Linked DNA regions of Cricetulus griseus. The protein of the gene in region 2 binds, or shares a complex with, the protein of the main gene of each other region. Links are inferred from orthologs where the notes say so. Each region holds a gene or a part of one and is shown on either strand. Other genes may lie near its edges.

What was found. Proteins that work in one complex are often made in the same cells at the same time.
Region 1: the proteins of Lrrc7 (region 2) and Camk2a are in contact, whole or in part, in a crystal structure (PDB 6X5G), measured with the Homo sapiens proteins. The link is inferred for Cricetulus griseus from reciprocal best matches to the Homo sapiens genes LRRC7 and CAMK2A. Residues at the interface, in NP_001357714.1 of Homo sapiens: His843, Gly844, Arg845, Arg846, Pro847, Leu848, Ile849, Arg850, Gln851, Asp852, Arg853, Ile854, Val855; in NP_001350919.1 of Homo sapiens: Glu96, Phe98, Glu99, Ile101, Val102, Lys137, Glu139, Leu159, Phe173, Ala174, Gly175, Thr176, Pro177, Gly178, Tyr179, Leu180, Ile205, Gly209, Tyr210, Pro211, Pro212, Phe213, Trp214, Tyr222, Gln224, Pro233, Glu236.

Annotation. Positions count from the first base shown.
Region 1 is NC_048595.1:178,171,879-178,177,518, reverse strand, and holds the start of Camk2a (calcium/calmodulin-dependent protein kinase type II subunit alpha), read left to right. Parts: upstream 1-2,114; coding exon 2,115-2,176; intron 2,177-5,640. UniProt on the Homo sapiens protein: Calcium/calmodulin-dependent protein kinase that functions autonomously after Ca(2+)/calmodulin-binding and autophosphorylation, and is involved in various processes, such as synaptic plasticity, neurotransmitter release and long-term potentiation.
Region 2 is NW_023276806.1:1,194,755-1,200,249, reverse strand, and holds the start of Lrrc7 (leucine-rich repeat-containing protein 7), read right to left. Parts: upstream 3,620-5,495; coding exon 3,523-3,619; intron 1-3,522.

The DNA.
Region 1 (5,640 bases), on a different chromosome or scaffold from region 2:
TGCCTTCCTCTGGTGCCTCTAGCCTTGGCCACGGTGTTCTGTGCCTGCTTGCTACCCACCAGCTGTGCAGCCCTGTGAGCACAGGCCTCTCTGCTCTGCCTCCGAATTGCCACGTTGGCGGCAGAAGCGGGAAGCATATTGTGCGCAGAAACAAAACGGAGTGGTTTTTCCTTTTCTGAAGGTGGTAATGGTGCAATTAGTGGCTAAGCCATTACCCCCTCCTCCCTGGCTTGCCTCCCTCCTTCCCCCCACCTCCTCCCTTTTTTTCTTTCCTGAGAAAAGTGGCTGAATTGAAGAGCTTTCCCTCAACCTTCCATTGACTTTCAGGAAGAGGGACAGAGGGGCCCCCTGGTGTCTCTAGGGCCCCCTACCCTAAAGCTCTTGTTGGTGTTGGAGAATAATCAAGGTACCGCTATGTCCACAAGTGAAGTAAACGATACAGTGATTTATGGATTCTGAGGGGTGAGTTGAAACTGAGAGAATTTGAATTTCCAGGTCCTTTTATCTGCCCCTTGCTCAATGGGGACAAATGCTGGCGTGAGACCTCTACATAGCCATCCGTGAGACATGCTGAGGCACCTCTTTTTTTTCCTCTGAAAGGGGAGGTGGGTGCTCAAGACCCAGATGCATTGTGGGAGTGGTCATGGACTCAGTTTAAAACTTCCTTTTTCGCTTTCTAGACACTGAGAGCCATTCAGGTTTGTCAACTGCCCAGATCCCATTTATGGCCCTTAGGCCATTCCATCTTTATGGGAGCCTTCTGCAAGCATGAATTTCTTCCTATTGTCTAGAAAATGATATGGGGGCTCAGAGAGCTTCCTCCTTGACTTTCCCAAGCTCACGAAGTTAATAAGTGCCAGAGCTGGAACTTGAACTCAGACCCATGCTTAATCTTAAACTCCATGCTTTGGGGCATGATTTGTGGCTACAGGTGTGGTTGGTATACCGAAGAGGTGATGTCATCAGGGAAGATGACTAGAGTTTGGGAAAGAAGAGTCCAGGACAGGATATATCCATGCCACCGGCCCAGGCCCGGGTGAGCCAGGCCATGCTTACCTCATTATAGTTGCCTCTTTCCAATCCTACCTTGACACGAAGCACAAGCTGAAACTGGGACATGAGCCCCAGGAGACCAAATCTACATGGTTCCTCTAGGGGCATGGGTGGGGAGAGCTTGGCGAAGAGGCCTCAGGAGGGGCCCAGCTGCACAATGATGACAGGTAGGGGTGAGAGAGCAGCCAGAGCCATTCCCACAGAGTCCTGGGTTTGGCTCTGCACTTCTCCCCCAGGCTAGAGTGACAGTGTGATACACACAGTGGCTAAAAAGCAGGGAGAGCGGGAGCAAAATAAGGACAGAGGCAGAGGCCAAGTCAACTAGACCAATTCCCAGAGGGAGCAGAGAAACTGCAGAGACTACAAGGGGGAAGGGAAGGAGAGAGATGAATTAGCCATCATTCCCCTGTAAACCTTAGAACCCAGCTGTTGCCAGGGCAACGGGGCAATACCTGTCTCTCTAGAGGAGATGAAGTTGCCAGGGTAACTACATCCTGTCTTTCTCAAGGACCATCCCAGAATGTTGCACCCACTAGTCGTTACCATAGCAACTGCCTCTTTGCCCCACTTAATCCCATCCCGTCTGTTAAAAGGGCCCTATAGTTGGAGGTGGGGGAGGTAGGAAGAGAGAAGATCACTTGTGGACTAAGTTTGTTCTCTTCCCCTTCTCCATCCCCCTAAGCACATCACCCTGGGAAAACAGGGTCCACTTGCTCCGGGGCCCACACAGTTCTGCAGTATTGTATATATGGGGCCAGGGCAACACAGGAGCAGGTTTTGAAGTGGAAGGCAGGCAGGTGTTGGGGAGGCAGTTACCGGGGCAACGGGAACAGGGCGTTTCGGAGGTGGTTGCCATGGGGACCTGGATGCTGACGAAGGCTCGCGAGGCTGTGAGCAGCCACAGTGCCCTGCTCAGAAGCCCCAAGCTCGTCAGTCAAGCCGCTTCTCCATTTGCACTCAGGAGCACGGGCAGGCGAGTGGCCCCTAGTTCTGGGAGCAGAACAGCAGCATCCCAGTCCTAGTTCCCAGCCTAAAGCCTCGCCTGCCTGCCCAGTGCCAGGATGGCCACCATCACCTGCACCCGATTCACAGAAGAGTACCAGCTCTTTGAGGAACTAGGAAAGTGAGTCACACCTCAGGGAGTCTTGGAGGGCAGGGGATCAGCCTCTGCGGGCAGGGGGCGTGTGCCTATGTGGCTAGAGCTGTCCCGTGCATGCAGAGGGAAGCATGCTGCATGGTTTGGGGACACCAGGTGTGCACAGGGTGTCCAGAGTCAGGCATTGACACATTTATGTGCCCATCTGGCCTGTGTGTGTGTGTGTGTGTGTGTGTGTGTGTGTGTGTTGAAAGGGTAATAGATTGATGGTATACATACACAACTGTGTATGTAAGTACACATGACCTGGGTACACAAAGATTCTTAGAAACTTGGGGTTTTAAAGGGATTTTCCCACTTGGCTGGGTCCAAGCTGGAATCCTTTCTGTAGTTGAACTTAGATACCTTGCAGTAATAGAGTTCACCATCTCTCGCCTGGAGATCCTGACTTTAGACACTGTACAGAGTGGCACATCCTCTCCTCCTTTCCCAGTTCCCTACCAGGAACAAGGGCTTCAGTACTGAAAGGGTTAACATGAAAGAGATTGTGGTGTTGGGAGGAGGGGAGGAACAACCAGCAAGCTGGGGGATGCCACTGTGGCAGTGGCACAAAAAAAAAATGGTGATCCTTTGGCAAGTTACCCATCGTGTTGTGCCTCTGATGTTGAGAGAAGGGTGGGAAGTAGAAAAGAAAAGGTTCCCTAGGGTAGATCAGCAGGCTATAGATATAAGGGAAGGTTTCTAGATGTTTCCAGCTGGGCTTGTGGGGGTCTTGGGATAGATCAGAAGTTGGGGAGCAGTTTGGCGGAGTGCTCCACGGACACAGAAGTGTCCATACCAGCCCTGTTTGGTTCCTGCTGTAGCAGTGAGAACGTGAGACAAGGGCCCCTGTGAACAGATGTGTGCCAGTGTGAGATCTGGAGGTACATGTATCAGCAAACATTTTTGAGGAGAGACTATATGATTTCCATGGGAAGCAGATGGAGTTGTATAAGAACTGACACTGGGCACAGTGTGAGCTGAAAAGGCACGCAAATACTGGTGCAAGTAAACCATGAAGAGATAGATGTGCAAGTGTGTCGTCTGTGTGGAAAGCCTAAAAATGTCAGTGTGCCCTGCAAGGGTGTGTGTGTGCAATTATGCAAGAGATGCTCTTGGTTAGATTGCAGCGAAGGTATGGACATGCATCTGTGTGCACATGTGTGGCAGGACAGAGCTGAGTGAATATCAGTGAACGTGTGTGTGTGTGTGTGTGTGTGTGTGTGTGTGTGTGTATAAGGTGTATAAGGTCACAGATGAGAAATGTGGACAGAATGTTCTTGAGTGTGCATGCATTTTGAGGAATATGTATAGGAAGTGTGTGTGTTTGTGTTAGGTCTGGACTCATGGACTCATGTGGGTGCTGTGGGGATGTGTGAGCTTATGCTGGTGTCTGCATATGTGTGGGAGGTGGACCTATGGTTGTGTGTAAGCATAGCCCCTGAATACACACACACACACACACACACACACACACACACACACACATACACACACACACACACACACGCACACGCACACGCACACGCACACGCACACGCACACGCACGCACACACACACACACACACACTCAAACTATCCAGACACCCACACATATCCCTCTTGTGCAAATGTGTGTTCATGTTTGTTTCTAGACTTCCTGCTCTTTTGCATGCCTTTGCATTGGACATGGGGGGCAGGAATACAATTTTGAAGGCTGCTGTGGTGGACTGTCTTAACTTTATCTGGGACCCCATTCCAGAGAATGTCTAGTGCTTACCAGGAACCTAAGGGTTTCCTGAATGGACTGGAGCTGCCTTTCAGGAACCCCCAAAGCTGCTTTTGGCAGGACTGCGTCACAGAGCACAATGAGATGGAGTTGAGCTGTGACTCCAGTGATCAGAGTGACACCAAAGTGCTCTTTTGCCCTGATAAGAGATGGGGATCATTAGGACTGGGCTTATTTGCCTGACTTGACCTTCTCAGCCTGCTTGGATGCTAAGAGGTGCTAGGGTAGAGGCAGAACTAAGGGACAGGGACCGGCGCTTCGGCCATGGCAGGAAAACCAAGGGTGGCAGGGATGCCCAGGCCTTGTCCAATCAATTTCAGACCTCTTCCTTCCTGAAGTATTGGTGCTCTTAACCTTTTTTAGGTCATTTATTCCTCCGGGAATCTGATGAAAGTCTAAATAGACATTCCCTGGAAAAATGCACAAACCTACAAAATGTTGTGTGTGGTGACAGGGCCTGTGAGACCTCAGGAGACTGTGCATGAACCTGTTCTTGAAGATGCTTGTGCAAAGGAAAAGGGGCTGTGGTGGGCCAGCTTCATGGCTTGGGTATCTGTGTAACACAGACCAGGGTGCCCTGTGGAGGAAGAGTCCGATGGCTTTTGCTCCTCACCTTAGCCTAAGTCTGAACTAAGGTGGGGGATGTTCAGGGAGGGGCTGTCTCACATGACCCTTCTCTCTGTGACATTGGGTGGGCTGCCACTTTTTCTGACCTGCAAGCTGGAACTTTAAAGAGCTGTGAGGGTGATATAGATGGTGTGTGAAGACATAGCCTCAAGCCTGACACACAGTGGGCCTCTGGAGGACATTGCTGCCCGAGTGGCTGTTGTCCTCAAGGATTGGGCTGGCCTAAGGGAGGAGGCAGAGCCTTCTTGATGTTTACCTTTTGTGTAGAGGGTATCGTGTTTAGGGGGATGTTGGTCAGGCTTCCTTGGGCTCTTCTTCCATGATGGAAGCAATGAAGAAATCTGAAGAGGTCACCCTTCAGTTGATGATCACGTGTCTTCTAGCTAGGACACTGTGTGGCTACCCAGATGCTGAGCCCTCATCCAGAACTCTGTCCACATAACCAGCCTCACCGAGTCTAAAAAGAGACTATACTTGACCTCTGTCAGGACTCTGGGTTGCCACAGCATAGAAGAGGGCTAGCATTTTAGCAAGATTTACTGGCATTCTGCCCAGTGAAGACTGGCTTGTCACCAGTGGCCTTTGAGGAGCCTAGGGTGTAAGCAGAGATTCCTCTCCTGCCTGAATATAGCACTAGATAGGAGTTTTTGTAACTTCTAGATGCTATCAGACTAAAGGCCCCCTCCATTCCCTGGCACTGAAGCACACAAATTAAGAGAAGCTAAGAAGTTGATGGGGCTGTTTCTAGGTACCCAGAGGTGATTTCACTCCTTTCTCCCTCTCTGGGATGAAAGAAATAGAAGCGTTCTCTTGGAGTGGGTTACAGTGCCTGCTACAGGCCCAGAGTGGTCCAGGATAGCCCTCAGAGTTCCCTTCCAACTCACTCATCTTTCTCTGATGTCCAGGACCAATGGACAGGAAGGGTGGTGGAGGTAGTGGTGGTGGGGAGTAGAGAGAGGCAAGGGAATCCCTAGAGAGCTCAGGCAGCCCCCCTCCCCGGGAGTGGGGTAGGAAGCCTCCTGTAGTCATTGCCTCCCCAGGCCTCCATCCTTCTGA
Region 2 (5,495 bases):
ACAGGAGTGCCATAGGAGACTCTTTGGAACAGAACATAGACATGCATTTTTAGTTTATCAGGGATGTGGTTTTGAGAACATATTTTCACCTAACTTTTTTTTTTTAAAAAAAAGAGAAATAAATTGGCCATTTATAAAAGTCTGTTTGTACAAGAATCAACTTATTTTTTATGATTGTTTGCTCAGCTTTGCTAGCTGTGGCACAGCTAGATGAAATTAATGTTTAATAACCAGCTAAGAGCAGTGTCTTGTGACCTAATGTTGATCTCAATGTTTAATACACTATAAAAGATTACAGGTTATCAGAGATAGCCGTGTGAAATATGCCATTTATCAAAACCTCTCTCCATAAAGAGATCCTGTCATCTGAACAAAACTCCAAATCCCTCTCTATTCCCTTGACAGGTAGATGATGCTCCTAGAATTTCTGTGATGCCAATTTCTGAGGTAAGTTTACCTGGGAACTGAGCAGTTGATGTGGGAAGGACCCTAGGCTGAACCTGTGGAATCAAGAGGACATAACTACACCAAGTGTTAGTTGCATTGACAGATGACATGAATTACAGTCTAGCGATTTCAAGGTCAGTGTGATACCATCTGTGTGGAACTTATAATGCCCCACATATCATTTTTTTCAAAAAAAAATAGCATGAATTTTCAGTTTTTGACATTGCTGGGAATTGAAGCTGGAATCTCATGAATTTGTGGATAACTCACAATTTTTACACAAAATGTATTCTATTATCCTCAGAAAAAGATTAATTTGACATAAGACAGTAATACTAGCAAGCTAAAAGAGACAGAATTAGAGGAAGGAGAAGAAATAAAAAGGCCGAAGAAAACTTTCTATGTCTCAGGCTGTGTGCAACACAATTCATATAAATCCGTATCTCACAACAGTCCTGTGACCCACCATCACCATTATTTTAGAAGTATATAAACTGAGTCTTTTAATGAAAATAACACACAGTGAACTGCATCTGGTTATTGTTGCGTGTGTTGTGATAGAGAATAAACCTTTTTACAAGCCTCAAAAGTATTAAATACCACAATGTTCTATCTCTACTATTAAAACGATGGTGTCTTTTTACCAGGAGATAATGTTTCCCCATCAAAGCTCAGAGAGTACTTCTCATTCTTTTCACTATATTAACAAGGGGCAGTCTAGATCTCTGGGGGAAGAAACACAGAAACACACACACACACACACACACACACACACACACACACACACACACACACACACCAGAGAGAGAGAGAGAGAGAGAGAGAGAGAGAGAGAGAGAGAGAGAGAGAGAGAGACGTATGGAAGTCCTCTCTTGAGGACTTGCAGCAATTATAGTAATAAAATTCTTAGCTACAGATGAAGTATCATAATAAACATATATAGTTTACACCAGAAAGAAATTTAAGCTTAAGTATGAGATAGTTTATCTATCATCATTAGTCTTGTGAAGCTGATGGCTTACTATCATCTGCCATCAATCACCTGCTTAGCTGGTGGTTTTCAGACTTAACCTTGCATCTCAGTCTCAAATATGGCTTCTTAAACTACAGACTACTACTCTAGTCTTAATAGATATTTATTCAGCAAGATTGGGCCTAAGCCTTTGACTCTACTCATCTAGTGAGTTCTCAGGTGATCTACCTGCTGCTGGCTCAGATGTCAAAATTTAAGAACCACTACTTCAGATAGGAGTTCATATCTTTCCCAAACCATGTGGTATGGCTGGCCTGTTATGCCATCAGTTGGAGGCCACTCTGGGCTACCTAGTGAAACTTTGTCTCAAAGAATAAAAGCAAATATATAAGTACAACTTTCCTAAAAAGAACCAGATAAAGGATTTTGGTTTTGTTCTGTGGAACATTTGGCCTGAGTTGTAGATACTTAAGTATTTCTGTGAAGCCAAAAGTAGATCTACAGAACATTTAAACACACATGTGATGCCTGTGTTGCTATAAAGTATTTCTGATGGAAAGAGGCATCGGGATGGATACCATAGTAACCTGCAGTAGAGTAACTATTGGCCTATATAATCACTAAAAGGGCACTCATGGAAATCACTATTTATGTTAGAACAGAAACTCTCTGGGAACCATTTACCAATGTACCCACATATCTTACTTCCATGTTTTTAAGTGAAATCTATAGACCTATACCAGAGATGAAGATGACGTATTGAACCAGAAGAGGAGGAATTTAGTAAAAGAGAGGTGATAGTTAAAAGTAATGATCTTCAAGAGTGCTCATTGTTGAACATGTTCACTTTTACATTTTAGCTTTTACCAGATATTGTTCACATGGTAATAGGACACAACTCCACCATGTGCAAAGATCAACACTTCAGTGAATGACATTGAAGTCACCGAGAAGAGGTCTAGACTGACGTTGCTGCACAACACACAGTGAAAGTGCTTCCCTTCCTGTGAATGCAGGCTGTGATACTTACCCTCACTTCAAACTAATTTAAAATGCAAATACAAAGTTAATAATTCACTGTGCCATCTATGTTGTGGAGCTCGGCATTAACTTCATAGTTACAAAATGTAAGTTCTTAAAATTGGACAAAATTCAGATCAGTGTTTGTCATAATGGAATATAATTTAGTGTGCCAAAAATAGCTATATGCAAATACCACAAGGAAAGTTAGGATCACGAGTCATTTCACAAACTTCAAATGTGAATATCATGTCAAAAGTCTCCAACAATCTGTTATAGGCTATGGAATATAAATATTTAAATAAAGTCTTTACAGATGACTACACATTCTAATATAAAATAATTTGGGGCAGGATTAAAGTGTTTTTACAGTGTCATTTATAACATCTGACTTTCAAAACGTTTTACTAAATTCCCTTAAATCAAAAATTTCAGTTTGACAAATGGACATACATATACCCTTAGACATTTAATTCCCTAGAAACACAGTGTTTTTCAAAGAGTGTGGCATTTTAAGAAAGAAAAAAATGTTCAAAAGAGAACGGCAGTCCAAAAGAAATTGTAAAATGTTGATTTTAAGCACATTTCATAAGTTTCTTTACCTCAGAACTCCTCAGAACATTGGTATGTATGGTGTAGAGAGATTTTGAAAGATTTAGAGTACGGTGTGGACTTTTCTGTTATCATTTAACACAAAATCCAAATGCCATGGGAAGTCCCTAAAGTACCAGAGGAGTACTCATGAGAAAATGGGGCTTGCAACACTTGTAATTGTTGCAATTAAAAAAAAAACAGCTGGGTGGTGGTGGTGCACAACTTTAATCCCAGCACTTGGGAAGCAGAGGCAGGAGGATTTCTGTGAGTTCGAGGCCAGCCTGGTCTATAGAGCGAGTGCCAGGATAGGCTGTGAAGCCACAGAAAAAAACCTGTCTTGAAAAACAAAACAAAACAGGTCAATTTAATATATATTTTTTGATTATCTCTCTAATTTACCTGAGCTTATAAAAGTAAACCTATTCATTTTTTGTGCCATTCACCGAAAATCTACCTAGAGCATGGTTGTTATGATTAGACATACTTACACTCCTCTTCAGGCCTCTTCCGAAGTGCTGCACGAGCCTCCTTGCAGGGACTTCGCTGATATTGTGGGGGATTTCTTCCCCGCATTAGGCTCTCCATCCTGTAAGAGATATTTTATTTTATTTTATTTTATTTTATTTATTTTTTATTAGTTCAAATAGGAGCAAGCTTGTTTCACATGTCAATCCCTTCTCCCTCCCTCACCCCTCCTACCTCCCATTTACCCCCACACCCCATCCACCCTCCACTCCCCAGGCAGGGTGGGGCCCTCAGTGAGGGCTCTGCAAAGTCCACCACATCATCCTGGGCAGGGCCTAGGCCCTTCCCCATGTGTCCAGGGCAAGAGTGCATTCCTTCACGTGAGATGGGCTCTCAAAGTATCTTCTTACACCAGGGAAAAATACTAATCCCCTATCAGGGTCCCCCTAGAATGCAGAGGCCTCCTCATTGACATCCATGTTCAGGGTAGACCAAGAGTATTTTATTGCATGAATCTTGATTGACAATGGACATATCACACTCAAGTTTAAATACTGACAGAAGCTTTACAGTCCACACCACTAAGAGTATCTAAGATGACCAGGGAGCATTATAATGATAAATCTTTCTACCAAGCCGCCAGAGCCCTACTGCCATGTGGGCGGCCAAAATAACACAGAGACTTATATTGGGTACAATGCTGCTGGCCAATAACTAGGATTTCTTAACCTATATATTTTATAAAGGCTTATCTTATTGAGGACACCAGCTGAATGTGTCCTCTCTTGTTGGACTCACATGGCAGCTCTGAGAGAAGAGAGATGCAGGAAGAGGAAGAGAGCAACTTCCTGCTTGTCCCTGCTTTTATTCTGAGTCTGCCTGCTATGTCACTTCTTGCTTGGATCACAAGACTTTACCACATTTCCCAGAATCCTCTTGACTCCTACTCCTGCCTAACTTGCTACCTCATTGGCCGAACAGTGCTTTATTCAACAACCAATAAGATAAACATACACAGAAGGACCTTCCCCATCAGAGCATGGGGCATGGTAAGCTGGAGAGCACTTGGCTTTTGAACGACAATTTGATTTAAAATGTTAAAAAGATATCACATGGAGTTAGAGAAACAGCCCAGAAATGCCAGTCCTTGCCCCATAAGCACAAGGACTTGAATTTGATCTTCCCCCAAAAACCGTGTAAAAAAAAATGCTAGGTGTGATGGCATGTTCTTAACTCAACAAGTTCCAGTACAGAAACCCCATCTCAAAAAATACAAGTGGACTGAGAAATGACAACTGACTTTGTCTTCTGGCATCACATGGACATATACATATATGTGCACACACACACACACACACACACACACACACACACACACACACACACACACGTGTGCACAACACCATGTGGACAAAGCAAAGCTCATACACAGTCCAATAAGAGAATGTCAAGACTGAATGTGTCTTACCCCCAATATAAAGGTATTTGGAAGTAATTAGATCTAGGAGGATGTTATAAGGGTGGGGTCTTCATAGTGGGATCACTGTCCTCCTAAGGTGGGGAAAGAGAGCAGAATCTCTCTCTCTCTCTCTCTCTCTCTCTCTCTCTCTCTCTCTCTCTCTCTCTCTCTCTCTCCCACACATGGCCAGTGAGAAGACTATCACCAGGAAGAAGACCTTACCCCAAAGCAAATCTGACTGCACCTTGATCATGGATTTCCCAGTCTCAACACTATGAGCTAGTTACAAATGTCCATCATGTAGCCACTCAGTCTATGATAACTTATCACAGTAGTGCAATCACTCCAAAAGGAAGTTATTAAGGAAGAGTAATTATTTGAAAGTAAACACACACACACACACACACACACACACACACACACACACACACACACACACACATATATATATATATATATATTATATATATATATATATATGAAGAAAGTCACCCTTTAGGAAAAAAGAATTTGTCCTGAACATTTCAAAGCTTAGTC